Linked DNA regions of Styela clava. The protein of the gene in region 1 purifies or fractionates together with the protein of each later gene. This does not show direct contact. Links are inferred from orthologs where the notes say so. Each region holds a gene or a part of one and is shown on either strand. Other genes may lie near its edges.

The links.
Region 2: the proteins of protein-lysine N-methyltransferase EEF2KMT-like (region 1) and elongation factor 2-like purify together in Homo sapiens (affinity purification with mass spectrometry; 3 studies listed by BioGRID and IntAct, counting the BioPlex papers as one, with this or other methods). This does not show direct contact. The link is inferred for Styela clava from reciprocal best matches to the Homo sapiens genes EEF2KMT and EEF2.

The regions. Positions count from the first base shown.
Region 1 is NC_135261.1:17,577,625-17,586,920, forward strand, and holds protein-lysine N-methyltransferase EEF2KMT-like, read left to right. Parts: upstream 1-5,571; 5' UTR 5,572-5,606; coding exon 5,607-6,674; 3' UTR 6,675-7,247; downstream 7,248-9,296. Other genes in the region: decapping and exoribonuclease protein-like, read left to right, coding at 1,011-2,192; serine/threonine-protein kinase ULK4-like, read left to right, coding at 7,279-7,416, 8,395-8,494, 9,132-9,271. UniProt on the Homo sapiens protein: Catalyzes the trimethylation of eukaryotic elongation factor 2 (EEF2) on 'Lys-525'.
Region 2 is NC_135257.1:16,651,321-16,661,663, forward strand, and holds the start of elongation factor 2-like, read right to left. Parts: upstream 4,633-10,343; 5' UTR 4,484-4,632; coding exon 4,481-4,483; intron 3,259-4,480; coding exon 3,044-3,258; intron 1,073-3,043; coding exon 891-1,072; intron 760-890; coding exon 545-759; intron 1-544. Other genes in the region: uncharacterized protein LOC144411684, read left to right, coding at 9,817-9,972, 10,051-10,195. UniProt on the Homo sapiens protein: Catalyzes the GTP-dependent ribosomal translocation step during translation elongation.

The DNA.
Region 1 (9,296 bases):
GTATAGTCTACCGGTATGTGTTTAGGTTAGTTATCAATTTATTTTACCTATTCACAGCTTATACCTGTATACTGTTATAACAGATAATGCTCCTTCAATTATGGAGAATATAGATGTTTATTCTTTAATTCCTCAAGAGTCTACATTTGAGGTTGTGCTGCGATATATGCTGTATGTTGGTGGAATATTTCAGCTACTTTGCATACTTGCTGTAATTTTTATTAATGACGATGAACCATCAAATAACATGACAGTTGATGAAAGAGATATGCCTTCCTCTCATCAACAAATGAACGTCAAATCAAATATCACAAAAGTTAAACGAAAAAGATTGGAAACAAAGAAGCGAAGATAATCCTGATCAAACAGATACTTAAGGGATTTATATGGCTGACTTATAGAAAATAAAAAACCAAGGAGAATTAAAGATATACTTCTTCATATGTGACAAATTTATAGAACTGGTGCAGCGAACATAAAAAGAAGATAAATGATTTAAAGTGAATCAGATACAATTGACCAACTGATTGCGGTTTATTCTACATATACCAGTATACCGGGTACTTAATAACTTGTTTTGTAATTATATCCAGCCGAATTGTTATGTTTTGATCATACATTGTATATGTAACAATTTTTCCCATGATTCATGATCTGACTTCAATTCTAGAATTTTACAATATATTGTAAATCAGTATTGTGCTATTTTTTCATTCTTGCCATAAATTTATCTATGCTTGTATTGAATTTCCTGTTCAATTTTATTTGAATGATGTAATTCAGCATTTGGCATTTACGATGGTGTTTTTTTTTTACTGCAAAAATTTAGTAGTTTATTAGACTTGGAAATTCAGCTAATGTTTTATATGCTAATTTATACTCAGCCAAACAATCTTACAGTGGAGATTTTTATGCTCCATCGGCCATGTTGTTTTCAAGTGACCATGTCTAATTTTCATATTTACAACTTAGAAAATTATCCTTAAATATTATTTTCATCCAATATTGGAATGTCAAAGGATTCAGAATTCAAAACTCTAGATATTAGTGGATATTCATCCCATTCAAAAAAACCTAAACATGTAACATTCTCAAAACCTGTGGAAATTGGAGTGTTCTCAATTGATGGCCAACGCAAATTTTGCAATAATCTCAGCCAGATGTCTTATGTTGAAGATACTTCGAGATGGTGTAAAAATATGGATCTAAATGATGGTTACAAAGACCGATTTGTGAAAAGAGATGAAAATGTAAAAGAGCGACTTGACAATCTGTTGAGATGGGTGGTTTCCAACCTTCATCGTTTCAAAAATGGCAATACAACTAAAGAAAGTAAAAGTTCTTCATTGGCTGCTTTACCAGATTTTATATTGTGGAGAGGGCATATGACAAAAATTATGTGCACGCCTTATGAATACCAAGAAGGCTGGGAGATGGCTGCACAAAAACTAGGTTCAACAATTTATATCAGCGAAGTTGAAACTCTGCAAGCAGAAAAAAGACGTTCGAACAGCACTGACAGAGAAAAGTTGATGACCTATTGGGGTGTTCGTTTCGAAAAGTACATGACCCGACCAGATCCTCCACATAATAGAAATGAAGCAAAATGTCCACGATTAGTACCCATCGATCAGTCGAAGATTGTGGTAAACACGAATGAGGCTTATTGTACAGTAATGAATGTGCAATTGAATTCTCATAAAATTATTCATAGTGCTGAAGTGGACTGCTGCCAAAATCCTTCTGAGGGTTTAACACCGCCAGATAATTATATTGAGTTGAAAACCAGCAGAGAGTTTTCTACTCAAAAACATGAAGACAATTTTCATAGGTACAAAACAAAAAAATGGTGGGCACAGTCATTTCTAGCTGGTGTGCCCCAGATTACATGTGGTTTCAGGGATGACAATGGCGTTATAGTTAGTATTCGTCATTTCAAAACATTGGATTTACCGAGGATGGCACGGCAAGTTCCTCACGGTGCTTGGGATGCAAATGTCTGTCTTGACTTTTTGAACAATTTTTTTGATTTTGTTAAAAATGTTTATAGTGGTGTACAAGAAGATGAAAAATGTGTATTTCTATTTTCTTGGAGGGCCAAGGGGGATAAAGTTATATGTACACGTTACAATTTGCCAACAAAACACGAGTTTTTGCCTGAATGGTACAAGATCTCATTAAGTTATCTATAAAACTTCGTATATGAGCAAACTCGCACCCCACTTCCTGTTAAAATGTTCTATTTTACTGAATTCAGTAGAAACATAATGCTTTGATCAATTTTTATTTATAATTACTTGTACTGATTAGGCAGATTTGATTTAATCTGGACTGTAATTTGGCCATATTCTGGCTTTGGTGAGTGAAGCGGTTTAGCCCACCTCTTCATGCACCCAACTTGGCAATTCTGATTGGGCAATTTGGCATTAGGAGACTTCAACTATGATAAGCTTAGTGATATCTTTTTAGAAATATTTCTTTATACATTTCACTCCTGTTGAGTGAATCCCTAAAAATGTTTCAATATGGTGTGACAAAATTTTTTATCCTGTTTAATTTTTTACCAAGTAATGTATCTCATGTTATATTATTTTGCTCTCTCACAATTTTATTCAGTCTTCGTGATTAAATACTTTTGGGTGAGCGAACAAGTACCACTTCTTTGGACAACACCTTGCAATTTAAAATCAGTTTTCCTTGTAATCAATTTTACTTATTTTGTTTTTATCAATTATTTTATGGTCTTCTATGCTGATTACAAGGTCGAAAAAAACTGATACTTATATAAAATTACAAATCTAATATTTTTTTTATATTTGTCTGCGTTTTATCTTTGCAGGGAGGCAAGACAAATAGGTAACTAACTAATCCCATACCCGACATGGACTGGTAACCGGACGAGAGGCCGTGATTCGCCCTTTAATTTAGCCATCTTATCGCATTCCTCCCCCGAAGAAAAAAAAACAAGGGAAATATTTACAATCTGAAAAATTTGACACATGTCGATTAGTTTTCGAACAGGGTACTCCCGAAGTATGTGAACCAAGATGGCGGAAACCGGGACGTGGTGTTGGGGTTAGGCCATAATTATATTCCAATTTTCCTTACTTTAGTTCTATTACGAGTTCGGAAACTAGCCAAGTGACTCTCGTAATATTTGTACATGAAATTTACCGCCATCTTGGTTCACATACTTCGGGAGCACCTCGAACAGTGATGTGCAAAAAACGCTTGCGCACCAAACACACTATCGTTAAATTGACAGCGTCAGACGTCTAAACAGAGCAAATTGAAAGTCATTGAAGTGAGCGTGAACAAACTGTCTCTGCCAGAGAATCCGTGTCACGAAACCTTTTGTGGGATAGGATTTTCATGTTTGCCAACTGTCAACTTGAAAAACTTATATCTTGGGAGTTTCAGCGCGATCTAAAACTACTCATGAGTGTAGATTTGTCTCAGATGAGTTGTGACGGAAACTCTGTGACAGTGAAGTACCGTACTATTGACACCTAGCAAAGATATACTAATTATAGAATGAAATACATTTTTCATATAGTGGTCTGCGGAATTTAGCAAAAATAATAAATTCCATATTGGCACTGGATTTCAATTTGCCAAAAAAGGTGCCACCTGAGGCATTACAGAGCTCAGATTTCAAGGGGAATCCCCAAATTTTAGTATGAAAAAGAAAAACAGTTTGACTTTCGATTCATAAATAGTCCAGTTGGATTTTTGCGGGCTTGCGATGGCTTTTATCCAGGATGGAAGAAGCTGATAATTATTAATATTTGATATACATGTTGAATGACAACCATTGGATTGAATCTTCAAATATGATACATGTTCATTGCATAAACTACACATGGTATGGGTAAATAAATCATGTTTCTGTATCGGCTTTTTGTTATAAATAGCTTGGGACTGGTGAAATTTCGGTACTCACGTACCGTAGTATGTGTACCAGTTTAGGGTTAGGCCATAATTTTATTTCGATTTTTCTTATTTTAGTTCTATTACAAGTTCGGGGACTGTCTGTGTCAGTGTGTTAGCGAAGTGAATATCCTCCTGCCCATAGGTTTCAGTCCCTTCACACAACTTGATGTAAAATAAATGGACAAAATTAGTTACCTCCATACTGGTACACATACTTCTAGAGCGCCGAAATTTCTATCAAACTGAGGTATAGGCTTTTTTCTTCTAAAAGTCGCTTGTGAATTTCTCCAAATGCCAGAGTACAAAACCTCATGGGCCATTCCACAAGTGCAGTTTTAAGTATTCTGTGGCATCTGCAACTGCCGCAAAACCATGGCGGTATTTCCATACCATGGCCGTTACGGCCAAACTCATGGCAACTGACTTTTAGCTGCCACAAACCAATGTCGGGCTGCCGTTACCGCGGCAGCAAATTGAAAACCAATGGCAGGTAAAATTTTGCTGCCGTAACCGCGGCAGGTGGGCCGTAAAGACAGGGCTGTCTATTATGGTGACAAATATTGGGCAAGTTGGAACGTTTTTCTTATGGATACAGTTTTGATTGATTTGGGGTTAGGGTTAAGGTTTATAGTATATATAATTCCACATGATCAATTAAAATCTGGTACATTAATTTGTGAATATACCGTTAATACCGATTACTGAATAGCGCTATAAAACCATGGCAAGAGCTGCCGCGGTTCGTTCAAGGCAGGAGCTGCCATGAAGTGGTAAGAACTGTGCCTCCCATTCTAAGCAGAAGTTGAATTCCATCAAGTTTTTAAAAAGTGTAATGAAAGTAATCTTTTTATTTTTGGTATCAAAAGACATTGGTGTGTTATTGGATTGCATTCATTTCATCGAACAATTTAAAATTTCACCCAGGTTTTTGATGGTTTTTAAAAAATGGTCTGAAATGTAGAAATTTTGGTGTAATTGACATATTTTTGTGATGATTCCTGGCACAAAAGGTTTGATTGTGTGTTACAGTTATTTCATATGGAATTGACGCACTGGATTTAAGTTAATTTTAAATGTTTGCAGTGCTGTAGAACATTTCTTCACCCATTTAACGATTTATTACCAGAATTTTAAGAGATGATAGATGCCGCTATTCCGAAGTGGAAAAATGTCATGTAGTGTCACGTCCTGTAGTCTGGTAGTGTCACATACAATATGCACATTATTGGCATGGATTTACAGTGTTACATTAAGTAACTTGAGCAACACATAGAGGGGTAGTTCAGCTACTGCACCAGAAAATATTATGGGCTCCTACTGTACCATCGCAAAAATTTACAGCACAACACAACATACTGCTGTACTGTTAGTGCATGGTGGATTTGCCGTCCTGTAGTGTCACGCTATATTTTACTATATTTTTTTTATCTACTAAGTAAGGTTGGGTGTAACTTTTGTGCAATTTTTTACATATTCAATAAAGCAATTGATTGGACAATGAAACAAAACATGTAGCTGAAAATGTGAAAATATATTGAATCTAACAACTTGCAAAATTTCTGGAATTGTCCCGTAGTGTCACTTGGAATAGCCCATACAGACATACTAAGCATAACTGACCATCTTTGTTTGTGTTTACAGATTTATCTAATTGAAAAATTATTCATAGTACAATGACCTCTGGTAATGAATTTATAATTGAAGTCGAGACCAGGATTTCAATTCATACAGTGACTATACAATTCCTGTGTGGGGTGGCTATCCGGGAATTGCCATGGCAATTTATTGTTGATTTCGTAGAAGAAGAAAAACAAAATGAAATATTAAACAAAACCATATTTCATCCTTTATGTAAAAAATATTCTGTCGGTGTTCTGTACCAGCGGTCTTTTTGCAAAAAGTTCATCAAAGAGATTGAAGATAGAAATCAAGTTGTTTCTGAAAGTCTATGCCAGCATTATGTATCACTACTCAGTATGGAAAATACACCATATTCATATAAAATATATTATATTCCTGGGATATGTAAATTTGTGCCGATTTTGGAAAGCAGAAATTTATTATCAAATGGAACCACAGGTCTCAATACCTGGCAAGGTGCTAAAGTACTCGCTGAGTGGTGTTTGTGTAACCCTGGTTTAATTAAAAACAAAAAGATTTTAGAGTTGGGATGTGGGGCTGGATTCTCTGGTATAATGACACTGAAAACTTGTCAACCATTGTCATATACATTCACAGACTATCACAGTGAAGTTATGTCATTATTATGCCACAATGTGAAAATGAATTTTGATGCAAAATTTTGTGATTCGTTTACAGAAAAAAATCCAAGCGAAATAGACAATTTGAAGCTTTTTGATATTGATAATATATCCGTAAAATCTTTGGACTGGACTGATTCTGATGATACAGATGCTCTAATAAAGGAAAATGGTCCATTTGATATTGTTTTTGCCGCTGATGTTGTTTTCGATCCCGCAATATTGAATCATCTAGTAAAAACTGTACGTTCAGTCTTAAGGCATTCTACAGCTTTGAATGATCACAATAAAAAAGTTACTGATTATCCCTTTGCCTGTTTTTCTATTACTGTTAGAAACCCATCAACTTTTGAATTATTCTTACATGAGTTAGATAAATATGGTTTAGATTGTATAGAAATGCCATTGAATGTTTTCAAAGTTTTCTATTTTGATGGAAGCTCTGATGTTAAGCTTTTAAAAATTGTATTAAGACTTTAATATATGACATTTGTCATTTATCAAAGTCATTCATAAAAAGAAACACATAATGGTTTTAATACTTATATACTGTACTAATTTAATTGAAACATAGTATTGTATTTGCACATCAATTGGTTGAAAATTTTATCATGTTTTATAACAGGGGTTCTCAAAAACTGGGGTCCGTGTACCCCCAAGAGGTCCGGGAAATTTGAGGGGTTTGTGAAAAATCAGTGAAAATGTTATAAATGAAATGAATGGAAAAATCTTCCTTAATTAAAGAAGAACTGATTTTTTTCCTTGTCGCTTGATTTCACCCATTTTAGCCCTTCAATTTGGGATCTGGCATAAAAGTTCTATTCTCTATTCATTTCTCGTCATGTTTATGCATTTTGTACTGTACTATTGACAAGGGGTTCACACAATTATGGGTCCATGTTAAAAATAGTTTGAGAGCCCCTGTTTTATAAGTTTTCACAGTGGTAACTATTTTTTATTCTTTTGATAAAATGCGAGGAGTTACTATAGTTTGGAAGGGCCAGGATTTTTTTTTGTTTTGTTCCAATGATTATGCTGGAATTCTATTTCTAGCCCTAATTAAATAAGCATAATCATAACAAAAATGGAAAATTTCATTCTCTATGAAGAAATAGGAAAAGGTTCTCACTCTGTTGTATATAAAGGGCGAAGAAAAGGAACAATAAATTTTTTGGCAATTCTCTGTATAGAAAAGTGCAAAAGAGGAGCCATCACGAATTGGGTAAGATTTGATGAATTAATAATCAATGTCATTTTAGTTTTAGCTAAGGGGTGCTTATAAATCTGATAGGCCTTGTTGGATGTAGAACATATATTGGTACTGGTCAATAAATAATGTTTTACAATCACAAATTGTTGTTCTTAAAATTCCAAATCCTGGTATTATTAACATAATCACTCTATATCTTTCCACCCAATTTAGCTCTTTCGTATGCAAAAAACAATTTCTTATTTAAATTAGTGTTTTTTTTCATGATGCTCATTTACTTCCAACAAGGAGGCCCAATCTAATCATGAAGGGACTACTTTTTGAATAACCAGAATATTTCGGTTTTGCATTGTCAACCCAATTTCTTATATCATGAGCGAGGTTAAGTCTACTCTAGTGCGCACCTACCGTAATTCCTCATACCAGTGCTTCTCAATCTTTTTAATCCGCACCTCCTTTTTAGAATTTGTCAAGTCTCGTTTCCCGCCTCAAAATTTGTCAAGTCTCGCTCTCCACCTCAAAAATAACTAGCTAACAATAGGCTACAAATAGCAGATAGTAAGGCGGTAGTATGTTTTATTCAAAAAACACTTCATCGTACAATGATGGAATGTAATTATCCGAAATAGGGAGGATATAAGATCAAATCTAACGAAGGTTTTTATTTTTAATTAGCTTTACGACCTCTCAAAATATTGTCTATACCCACTTTGTTGGAAGGACCCCATTGTTTGAGAACCACTGCTTATGACCATTGTGCCCAATATCTTGATCAATTTTAATAAAATTATACATTGATGATTCTAAAAACTTTATTTATATGTTGGGAAGTGGAATCCTGGTTCTCTGACCTTCTATTCTTAGTTATACAGAGTCTAGCCATTCGGGAGCATCTCAAGAAAAATCCTTGTCCAACGACTCACAAATATATTGTTTGTTATCTAAATATAGAGATAATTCTATTTTATACTGAAATGACATTGATTTCAGGTTCGTCTTACGCATGAACTTGAGCATGAACATATTGTGAAATTCTATGAATGGTACGAAACAAGCAATCATCTATGGATGGTAGTTGAATTATGTACAGGTATGTATGGCACTTTGTGCAGTGATGCTATATATTTGGTGACAGCCAAATGGTAATTTTTAAACCTTTTATAGATGGTTTTCTATGATTATGTACTTTTGCTTGTAGGATCTCCCATCGATAATCTTCTTTCTTGAGGTTAAAATATTTACGGTATCTATATTTACAAAAAATCCACCATCTTCCGATTCTGCATTGCATGTTCAACTCAAGATTTTTGCACCCGTTCTCTTTTTGAAGTTTTTCTTCAGCTTTGGCTATATTATAGTCAATTTTCATTACACATTTAGATAGTGAAAAATTCAGTATCGACTTCTATAGCAACCCATATCAAAATTTGTAAAAAATGCTAACCTCTTAGGTGCTCTCAGACAGGAAATTTTTAAATGGGTTGGTTCAGTTTAGGTTGATGTACTTGTATATGTATTGTAACATTCAAGTCGCGAAAGGGTTTAAGGCCGACTCACCGATTGACAAAGGTGCACTGAATTGTCTTCTCAATTGATTTCACTATAATTGAATTTTTGTTTCAATGCTTTGATAACCATATCATAAATTACTATTAAAAGAGGCATTTCTATTCTTACCTGAGTGAAATAAATACCTTTGGTTTCAGTTAATATTACATTTTTAACAGGAGGCACATTGGATAAAGTCTTGAGTCTCGACAATTGTTTACCAGAAGATATTGTTCGAGAATTTGGCAAAGATATTGCAAGCGCTCTGCATCACCTTCATCAGATCGGTGTTTTATTTGCCAATTTATGTCCTAAAAAGGTGGTAATATCTTATCAAAGCTATC
Region 2 (10,343 bases), on another chromosome or scaffold:
GAATAAACGAATAGGAGTTGAAACATTTATATCAAGTAAATACTTCATTCAGTTAGGTACACAAAAAGCAGAATTTTTAGGATTAAAATGACGATTTTTCCATAATATGGAAATGTGGCATTATCAAATATAATGAAAACATACTCCAGAATCAGTGCACTGAGTCATGGAAAACTGATGGGGATGGAATTATTATCCCATTTTCCAGTATTTTCTGGCATAAAGTTAAGAAGAGTCCTGAAAATCAGGCCAAAAAATAGGCACAAAAAATCTGCTCATTATTCAGGAAATACTGTATTTTTAATTAAGATCCAGATTTTCCAACTAACCATGTGCTTGAAATCCATTTTTTGATTATTTATGGCCCTTTTTAGAGTATTTCGCTTTAATCAAGGCTCTATAAGAGTAGCCACTGATATCTAACTTGCTACTATTATTTGGAGAACTGGAATCTTTCTTTTTTGACAGTATACGACAGATGGGTTGCCCACACAGTAAGTCTTAAGAACAGGTAGAGCACCGTCCAAAATATCAGTAATTTGACCTGGATATCTCCGAAAGATGTCTTCTCGTCGGCACCACCATATGTTGAAATAATGACATTGACGTTTTCAACAATTCGGCTGAATGTTTGATAAAGATCTTCTTTATCAAGCTGTAGTTCCAGAAGAGCTCTGTCCATCTTGTTCATGAAAACGATGGGCCTGATACGTTCAGCAATAGCTTGGCGAAGTACGGTCTCAGTTTGGACACAAACACCTGATAGTACAAAATATTTGCAATTGAAATCATGTCTAATGAAATACAACTTAAAAATTGAATGGTAACAATCTGCAGCAAATATTCTTGCATGATTTATGCTCATGAGCAGTAATAGAGCCAGTACTTACCGCTAACACAATCAACCACAACCAGTGCACCATCTGTAACGCGCAGAGCAGCTGTAACCTCCGATGAAAAGTCAACATGTCCTGGTGAATCAATCAAATTGATAAGAAAGCCATTACCATCTTTTTCACATTTGATATGTTGCATATCCTTTTCAGGCAGTTCATAAAAGAGAGAAATTGCACTGAAAAAAGAATCAATTTCAGTGCTTATTTTTATGAATGTAATTAAATATTTAATTTTTACTTACCGTATACAACAATATGTACCGGTAACCAATACTTAAAATCCAAACTTTTTTTACTCAATAATATCTATTTCAATATGGCTCCAATTCTAAGAATAACAACCATATTAACCTAATCCTCCCGGTCTGACGCATGCGCGACGTTTCAGACGTTTTGCAATGCTGTGTGTATACCATGAGGTCTGAAATGTTTGTTATGGTCTTGCTTGAAAGGAAATCTTATTCCCCACACAACGATATGAGAATGAACCTTATATGACATTTAGAAGTGATAAAATTTCGCTTACATATCACGCGTGTACTTCCCGCTGCGATATAAAAACGTCGCACAACAAGAAAATGATTCCATAAACCTTGGCGTTGCGCGCTAACCAATAACAAAAGCTAGTATGATAAGGTCTTATTTTGAAGGTCATTTTATATGCTACATAACATAGGAGAGTGGACATCTCACAACGTCAGGAAGTTATAAAAATATCGAGTCGTTTGATCGCAGCTGCCTCACCGAAAAAAAGTTAGGCGTTTTATCTCGCAAATTCTCCTTGTCTGACGATTATAAGCTTTTATGATTCATAATAAATGTTTTATTATGACTCACAAAAGCTTTCAACGCGATAAAGCACAATCAAACAACCGATCGATCTATCAAGCTTAGCCTGGCCTGATTCGATGTGGTGACTTCTCAAACGGAAAATTTCCAAAACGATTGAACGACGCGCGCTATGGAAAAGCGTTTAGTATCATATGAAAGAGAAAACCAATGTGCAGTCAACTGTATAGTCACATTTCAGCTTTACAATAGCTATAGACGTCCAACAGCTGATAGAATGAGAGAGTGTAAATATTTTTGTTATTTTTTGACGTTACGAGAGACCTCTTGAAAGAGGTGTTTTAGTTTACGGTCCTCCAGTGACATCTAGCGTATAGTACTCTAAAATACCTTTCCAATGGTATATAATTATTGTATATTGGGTGAATTTTGGGGGTCGTATCACGTATGACATTAATAAAAATGGGTATTCAAAATTGGGCTCGATTGGGCGTCTAAAACAGGTTAAAAGACATCAATTATAATAATGAATGCAAACCGAGATGATGTGGAGTCTTTATAACACCAAACCGGTACTGCCTAATAAACTATTACAGTACAGCACACTATCCAAATTTTAAGAATTTCCCTCCATTAGGCTCAATAAAACAAACACTCTATGTGTCTCACAAACGCGGGGCGTCTGGGACCTCGGCAGATGCTTCATATCGCGCCATGCTTGTCTCAATAATAATATAAATTGATCGCAGCAGTCACATGACCAAAATTGCTGTTTTTTGCTAAAAACTTCCGAAAGCTACGGTAAAAATTTTTTCCTTCGGTAAATCTGATTATTTTTTCCCAAGGAATTCAATGACGACGTTACTAGATTGCGCTTTTTTGTAGTATATTGCGCAACTTCATTATACTGTATTATTACTGATATTGAGGGACAACAATTCCAGACGTCTCCCAAAGGAGGGGTGTCTGATCATCTGTAAAATGGTTTCTCTGAAACGGGAAAATGTCACCCGATTTGTATAGTGTGCCGTACTGTAATAAGGACACACAATCTAAGTCTCCATAACACCAAACCGGTACTGCCTAATAAACTATTAAGGACGCACAATCTAGAAACATTCCCATGGATTCCCCCCAAAAAAATAATCTGAATTTACGCAAGGCAAAAAAAATTTACAGTATTTGAATTTTTTTAGCAAAAATCAGTCTGGAGGAATGGAAATTTTGGTCATGTGACAGCCAACATATGTCATGATTGACTTATCATCCAGTCATTTGCAGGACTAATTTTTTTCATGGATCTTGGAATTGTGCCCTACTGTATATTGAGAAATGTATTTGTTTTAAAGCTCACTTACGTTGACTTGATTGTAATGCATCTCTCCTGCTCATCCTTTCTCGTATCTGTAAAACGAGTTTCTCCAGCTTTCGCACCAGCAATGATACCAGCTTTGCTAACAAGGGAGTCTGTTAATGTAGATTTACCATGATCTACATGAGCAATAACAGACATGTTCCGAATATTGGCTTTTTTGTCCATGATCTCACGGATCTGATCGACTGTGAAGTTCACCTAAAAATAAAAATTATGTTTAACATCAGTCTACAGCAAAAGCGTGCAACAGGCCACCAAGCTATTTAGTGAGCCCTTTTGAACAACCTGATTTTTCCAAATCAAGTATATAATCCTAATCCGACAGTTTATATTAAAAAAGACACTCACAAAGGTAAAAATACACATACATATACTACCCTAAGACGGCGAGGCGTCCAGCAATCCTCTTGCACATTTTATCCTCCCAGGATTTAAACCGCCAAACCCACAAAGGGTATCAGAGGGGTGGTCTGGTGGTGATGACTGGGTGAGTGTATTCCCAACGCTTAGCACAGTAGCACGATGCGCCGGGTCTTACTACTTACTGAATAGAACACGAAACAGCGCAGAATGGATAGAAACATTTTACTTTCATTATTTATTAGCATCCGTGAAATTTTAAACAATTTGATGGGAAACGGTATACAGTGGTAGGGAATGATCACGAGTTTATGTCAGTAATCTTCAACATCTTTAAATAACCAAACATGATGCACCCTAACCTGGTACACATACTGTGTTCAGGTTGTGCGCCATCTTGGTGCACATACTTCATGACGCACCCTAACCTGGTACACATACTGTGTAAACTTGTGATCATTCCCTACTACTGTATGTTGCCTCCCATCAAATTGTTTAAAATTTCATAGACGCTAATAAATAATGAAAGAAAAAAGTTTCCATCTCTTCTGCGCTGTTTTGCGCTCTTTCCCTCTCTTCTGCGCTGTTTCGCTCTCTATTCAGTAAGTAGTAAGACCGCGATGCGCCACACTGCTGAGCCCAAATTACTAATACTATTATATTGAAGTATGACATTTCAGTGTCAATATCGGAGAGTCAACCTCCAACCTCAAATGGTGTTGAATCATATAAAACAATCTTTATTATTTTGTTACCAGTCACCATTGCCACTGACTGATTGAAGATTTAGATATCTACCCTGTTTTTACATAATATAGCAAAGGACTGGCATTTACAAAATAAATAAAAAATACGTAGATCGCTACATAGACTGGATGTCAGATTTTTCTGTCTAAATTGAAAAGTGGGTTCTTCCCGTTCAGGTTATAGGCTACCTTCGCAAGAGTTATATCCACTTAAATCACGCTCAACAAGCCATATTATTCGTTCATATTGCGCGAAATATATCGACAGACACATGATAGCTCAAAATTACATAAAAAAGGGAAGATAAACTCACCATTTTGGATGTTTTGACTTCGTTTCTTCACTCCGCGTAAAAAAATCAACCCTCGAACTGAAGGGCTTGGGAAAGGAACGTTATGAAATGACAAAGCTGTAACGCCAACCTATTACGTCATAGCACCACGAAACAATATTGCGAAATCCAACAGTAATTATTGCGTCCCTACACGGATGAAATAAGAGAGGAAGAGATATTATTTGTCGATCAGATCAAACAGTCATGATATAATAAGTAAAATGATAATAATAATAATGAAGCAAAAAAAATTCTCATTCTGGAATATCCCCATATATGAGTATAAGTTTATTTTGACTTCATAAATCAGCATAAAGGCGATGAAATAATTGATAAAAACAAAATAAATAAACTGATTACAGAATCGGAAAAACGAACAAACCCTTGAGCATGGTTTAAATAAAACGTACATATTTCAGATTAAAAGGTGATGCCAAAATAAGTGGTACGTGTTCGCTCACCCAAAAGTATCAGGTTATTAGACCTTATTAATTCGAAAACCATCCAACGCGCGAAAAACGAAAGTGGCATGAACAAAAAACGAACCAAAAACGATTTTAACATTAGCTCTCATGGGGAATGTGATCACCAGAGCAAAAATTTGCATTTTTTGTAATTTTCTAGTTATCTTTCATTGTAGACGTATGCAGTTTTGGGGATAGAATATATTTTATATACTTTTTGATATTTTTATCATGATAGACACAGTCAAGATTTTTGATAATCGTTCATTGAAATTTTCATGGTCGTGGTGTTTCTGCTGGCATCTTTCTCACCATACCATGCCATTCTGCCAACGCGTTGTGGTCTGTGAAATATGCGCTCCAACTGCTCGTGTTTCTTATTATTATAGGATAACAGAATACCGGGACCACAACATACCGTGTTTGGCGCTAAAGAAAGACCTATTTTAGTTAGTAAAGTTTAGCCGGAATGGCAGTCTGTTCACGTATTAAATCAAGTAGACAAAAAAAAACTAGGAAAAAGAGTAAAAAAAATATATTACTTGGTAAAAAAGAATATATTTATACAAATAAAATAAATTTCGCCCAACCATATTGATAGATTTGTATGAATTTTGAAATTGGATACCGAATTGGTTAACAGGAATGAAATGTATAAAACAATGTTCCTAAAACGATATCGCCAAGTTGATTATAGTTGGAGTCTCCTAACGCCAAATTCCCGAAAGGAATTGCCAAGTTGGATGCATGAAAAGGTGGACTAGACTCTAGACTAGATCACTTCATTCACCATAGCTAGAATATAGCCAGATTAGATTCTAGATTAAATTAAATACTACTAATCACCAAAAGTAATTATAATAGGGTGGTTCACGTAACCACTGGTCGATTACGGCATCCTCTTTTATCAAGTCCATGCTTCCGAAAACGAATAACTAACTAATCCCATACTCGACATGGAATGGTAACCGGACGAGAGGCCATGATTCGCCATATCGGCTTTCTTCTCACACGGGATAAATGTGTAAATTCTATCCAAATTTGGTCTGACCTGGACACGCCACTGCGCGTCGCTGAATCAAACGCTTTGATTGTACAACGCAATTAGGTATTGACTCGAGAATCTGCACACACTTTTCCCAAACAGACAAAGATGTCAAAGTTGAGTGTTAAACCTGCGTTTTTTATTCGTTTCCATTGGCTATGATATTGAATCAATTTTCAAATGAGCATAAAGCGCACCAATCTCTTGTATTTTCAACAACTTTTTAGTGGGAAGTCTTGTAAAATTCGAAACATCAGAGACTGAATGGGGAGGGAAGAACTATGCTGACGTCAACAAATTATACCCGCGGACAACAGATTAGATACTATTCCGTCAACATTTTCTTTACACTTAGAGCTTTAGTCCCACTAATCTTGCGCTTACATTTTTTATAATGCAGATTTATTTGCACAAAAGAATGTAACAATATTAAAACTAAACCATGCTTGGATCCGTCAATATTATCTTAGACATTGGGAACTGATATGCTCGCCCATGGTTCATCAAAGGGTACTTCCGAAGTATAAGAACCAAGATGGCGGACACCGGGACGTAGTATGTGTACCAGATTAGGGTTAGGTAGGTCATAATTTCATTCCAATTTTAGTTCTATCACGAGTTTGGGGACTAGCCAAGTGACTCCCGTAGTATTTGTACCTGAAATTATGACCTAACCCTAACCTGGTACACATACTGCGAGTACCATATTATGCAATATGTAGTATTGTTGTAGATAGCTTATTGCGTTGAAAACACATTAAATAAATAATTAAATAGCCTAATTTGTTACAATTACCGTAATAAAAATATGATTGCGGAAGATTCATGTGTACATGAGATGTGTCGCGGACCATAACGTCCGCGTTTATATTGTGTATATATATATTTCATGTTGTATTGACCCTTATTCAATGCTGTTTTGTCGGATCTGGACTCCGACTAATCACTACACGTGAGAGGAAAACTATGTCATTCGCTCTCTTTTCTCCGTTCTTCGGGCTGGAGGTCGGTCGTGTTTTTAGTTCTTTAGTGATGTAATCAGTTTATATGTTTCAAGTTTGATATTCTGAAGTTGCCGTACAATAAACAACCAATCCGGAACCCTTGAGTCTTTGATTCATCTACAACCACGGTAGCAACATCTTCGTCCGTGACAGATGCAAGCATGCAAGAGACCTGTATTCTCGCTAATACATATGAAAAAAAGAAAACTATGCTCAAATAAAGAGATGATGGTTGCGCATCGATACTGGTACCGCAAAGGCTGAAAACATCGAGTTTGCTGAAAAGATGTTGGCGAACAAGTTCACGCGATCGAGCATGTCAGAATAGTTGGGGCCAAAATTAGGGTGAAATAATCAGTTCCAGTCAACGACTAACATACCGTCCCAGTATAGCAGGGGGCGGCAAATTATGTCCCGCGGGCCAGATCCAGCGTGGAGTAAAATAATCCGGCCAGCGATGCTTCACTGAATTATAGTAACAAAACGGCTATTTTGACGATTATATTTTTTATAATATCATATTCTTCATATTCGATGCAAGTGCAAAGGGTGAATGAAACTTTCTGAATCTAACTTTCTAACTATCCAAATTTGACAAAAGTCCACATCGATGTTTAGAAGTACATATGCGTGCAAAAAATTATTTTCGAAAATGAACATTACAAAGAACAAGCTGAGAACTCGGATTAATGATTCCCATTCAGAAATTGTTTTAATCCTGGCTTCATCCAGTGTGCCGCCAGAAAAAAAGAGTGATATTAAATGTCATTTGTAAATTTTTTTCTTCAAGTAAGAGGACTAAGTCAGCCATCCGTTCTTGTTAACTTTCGAAAAATTATGCGGCCCGCCAAGACTTGCAACCCTTAATTTTGGCACGCGAGCGACAAAAGGTTGCCGACTCCTGAACCAGCAACTTCTTTCTTTTTACAAAGTTCTGAAGATTTGAAATTGATTAGCCAACTAGTTGCAAAAAAAAGTTAATATTTCGAACAACCACAGTCACCCCGACAACATCAAGATTTGAGCAAAACAATATCAGACTTTGCCTTCAGTATTAACTTGAGGGAATAACACGCAGGAGACACCAGTTACAAACTATTAACATAGAATTGAATCGTTAGCCAAGCCTTTTATGTGAGGGAAATTAACCATGGGTTACCAGCTATATAATAATTAAATGAGCCGTTTAACAAGGAAGATGAGTACTTCGAATCAAAACTGATCGTTGTTCAGAACAAGCGAGCTATGCTCAAATATATGAACACGTTTACCATCCCAAGAAAAGCACCAACATTCAAAGACTTCAGGTATAACAGTGACTGCAAGCCACGCTTTTACGAGACAGTTACGAGTTAGTTCAGTATCACCGCGCTGTGTTACGGTACCGGAACTGCTCTATCTTTAAAAGTTCCTGTCTTGTGACAGCGTGAATTGAAATTGCAAGCTGGTCCGAGACTGTAGTAACACCAACGATACGAGTCACTACTGTTATATAACACCAAGTACGGCACTATTCGCCATTCACCTTTCCTCAAATATTAGCAAAGCAATGATTTCGTTACGAACCACCGACGTTCGATGGTACGTGATCAAAAGAACATGAAGAGGAGTGCCAGCATATGCGTCCGCAGAACGTTCGGTGACTTCATAGCAAACAAAAACAAATCTCACAGAGCTAACAGAAATATTTAGAATAAATAAAAGTAATAGCCTTCTGAAGAAAAATTTCATCTTTAACCACTAAAAATTTCAAAACAATTGGTTCAGTAATCAAAGAGAAAAGCGACTTTTTAGGTTTTCCACTAGGTGTCCAAAAAGTGTCAGAGAACAACAACATAATATTGAAACGATCGTTATGTCCACTAACGTGTCCAAAAAGATTTTATAAATGTGTGATTATGTCTTGAATACTCTTAATTCAATCAAATGGTACAGGTTAGCTCTTTAGTGAAGAGGATAAAAACCCGCAGCAAGACTAATATGCAGTATGACACGGCAATATTGCTAATATAAAAATGCACGGGGCAAGTTATAAATAGCATACCGAATCGAAAACAAGAAAGAACCTTTTTCAGATTTAGCATATTTTTGAACGTGGAAGTACCTAAAAATTTTCATGAACAAATTCCAATTTGGAAAAAAAATTAGAATAAAATCGAGATACTGATAAGATCAAGAGTTATATAAATATAACCTGAACTAGTCAATAAATTAGAATTCAACAGAAGCAAATTCATTTGGTTATTTAAAAGAGATCTATGATAATGAGACAAGATTGGATCACGGTGAGTATGGCGTAGGTCAATTTTTTCGTTGTTGAAATATTAATGTGATTCAGGCTAACAAAGAAAGAAATGGAAATCATACAACTTAATAGAATTTAAAAATTAACCATAAAAAACGCCTGTCTGATAATTTATTTCTTTACAATATCCATATGAACTGGGATAATGTGATTCAAACCAACCAGAATTCTTCAACTTTCAACAGCGTTAATTAATAAATCTAATTTGCTACAAACTTAGTGGGCCTGATGGTCTAGCAGTATAAGCGTTAAACTTAACTTGCTGACATCGAAGGCTACACATCTCAGATTTTAAGTTCTCCCCTCGGCACCTCACTTATGTCATAAAAAGCCAATGCCAAGCCATAAATATTTCGCTTCCTCCAAAAATAGTAGCTCAACATACCGGTAGATGTTTGTACAGTGGCTTCTTCGGAACTAACGGAATAATGAAGCGATGTATAAAAAAAAAACATGCTGAATAATTTTTTTTTTAATTTCAGATGTTACGGATTTTGATGTTTCTCTGCTTTACTGTAGGATTGGCATCGGGGAACAAGATATATCACTTCAATCCCCCCAGCCCATCAACACCTTACTATTATCCAGGCACTAAAGTTCCAGTGCACCCACCTCCATATGACCAGAAGCTTTTTAGAAAAAAAGAATTTTTGGTGAGTTTCATTGAAAACAATTCACAAAAATCTCTATTCTGACAACAATTTCATTTTTAAAATACTTTTTTTTTTCAGAATGTGCCATTAACTATGGCTTTATGCAGAAAATACAATGAGCTACGAAGACTCAAACCATGTGCAAGAGCAATACAGAACATGCAAAGAGGAATACTACCCAGTTGCCCGTTATCTGATAACAACAGATGGCCGTCGAATACAAGTAAAATCATTATAAATTTATATCATACTTGAAATGATAAGAAAACTACATATCACAACTGCCTTATTATGACAGCATTTCGAGGTCACCTAGACATCTTGATATTGGCATACTTTATTTAGAGATAGTACCAAATGTTTTATTCTTT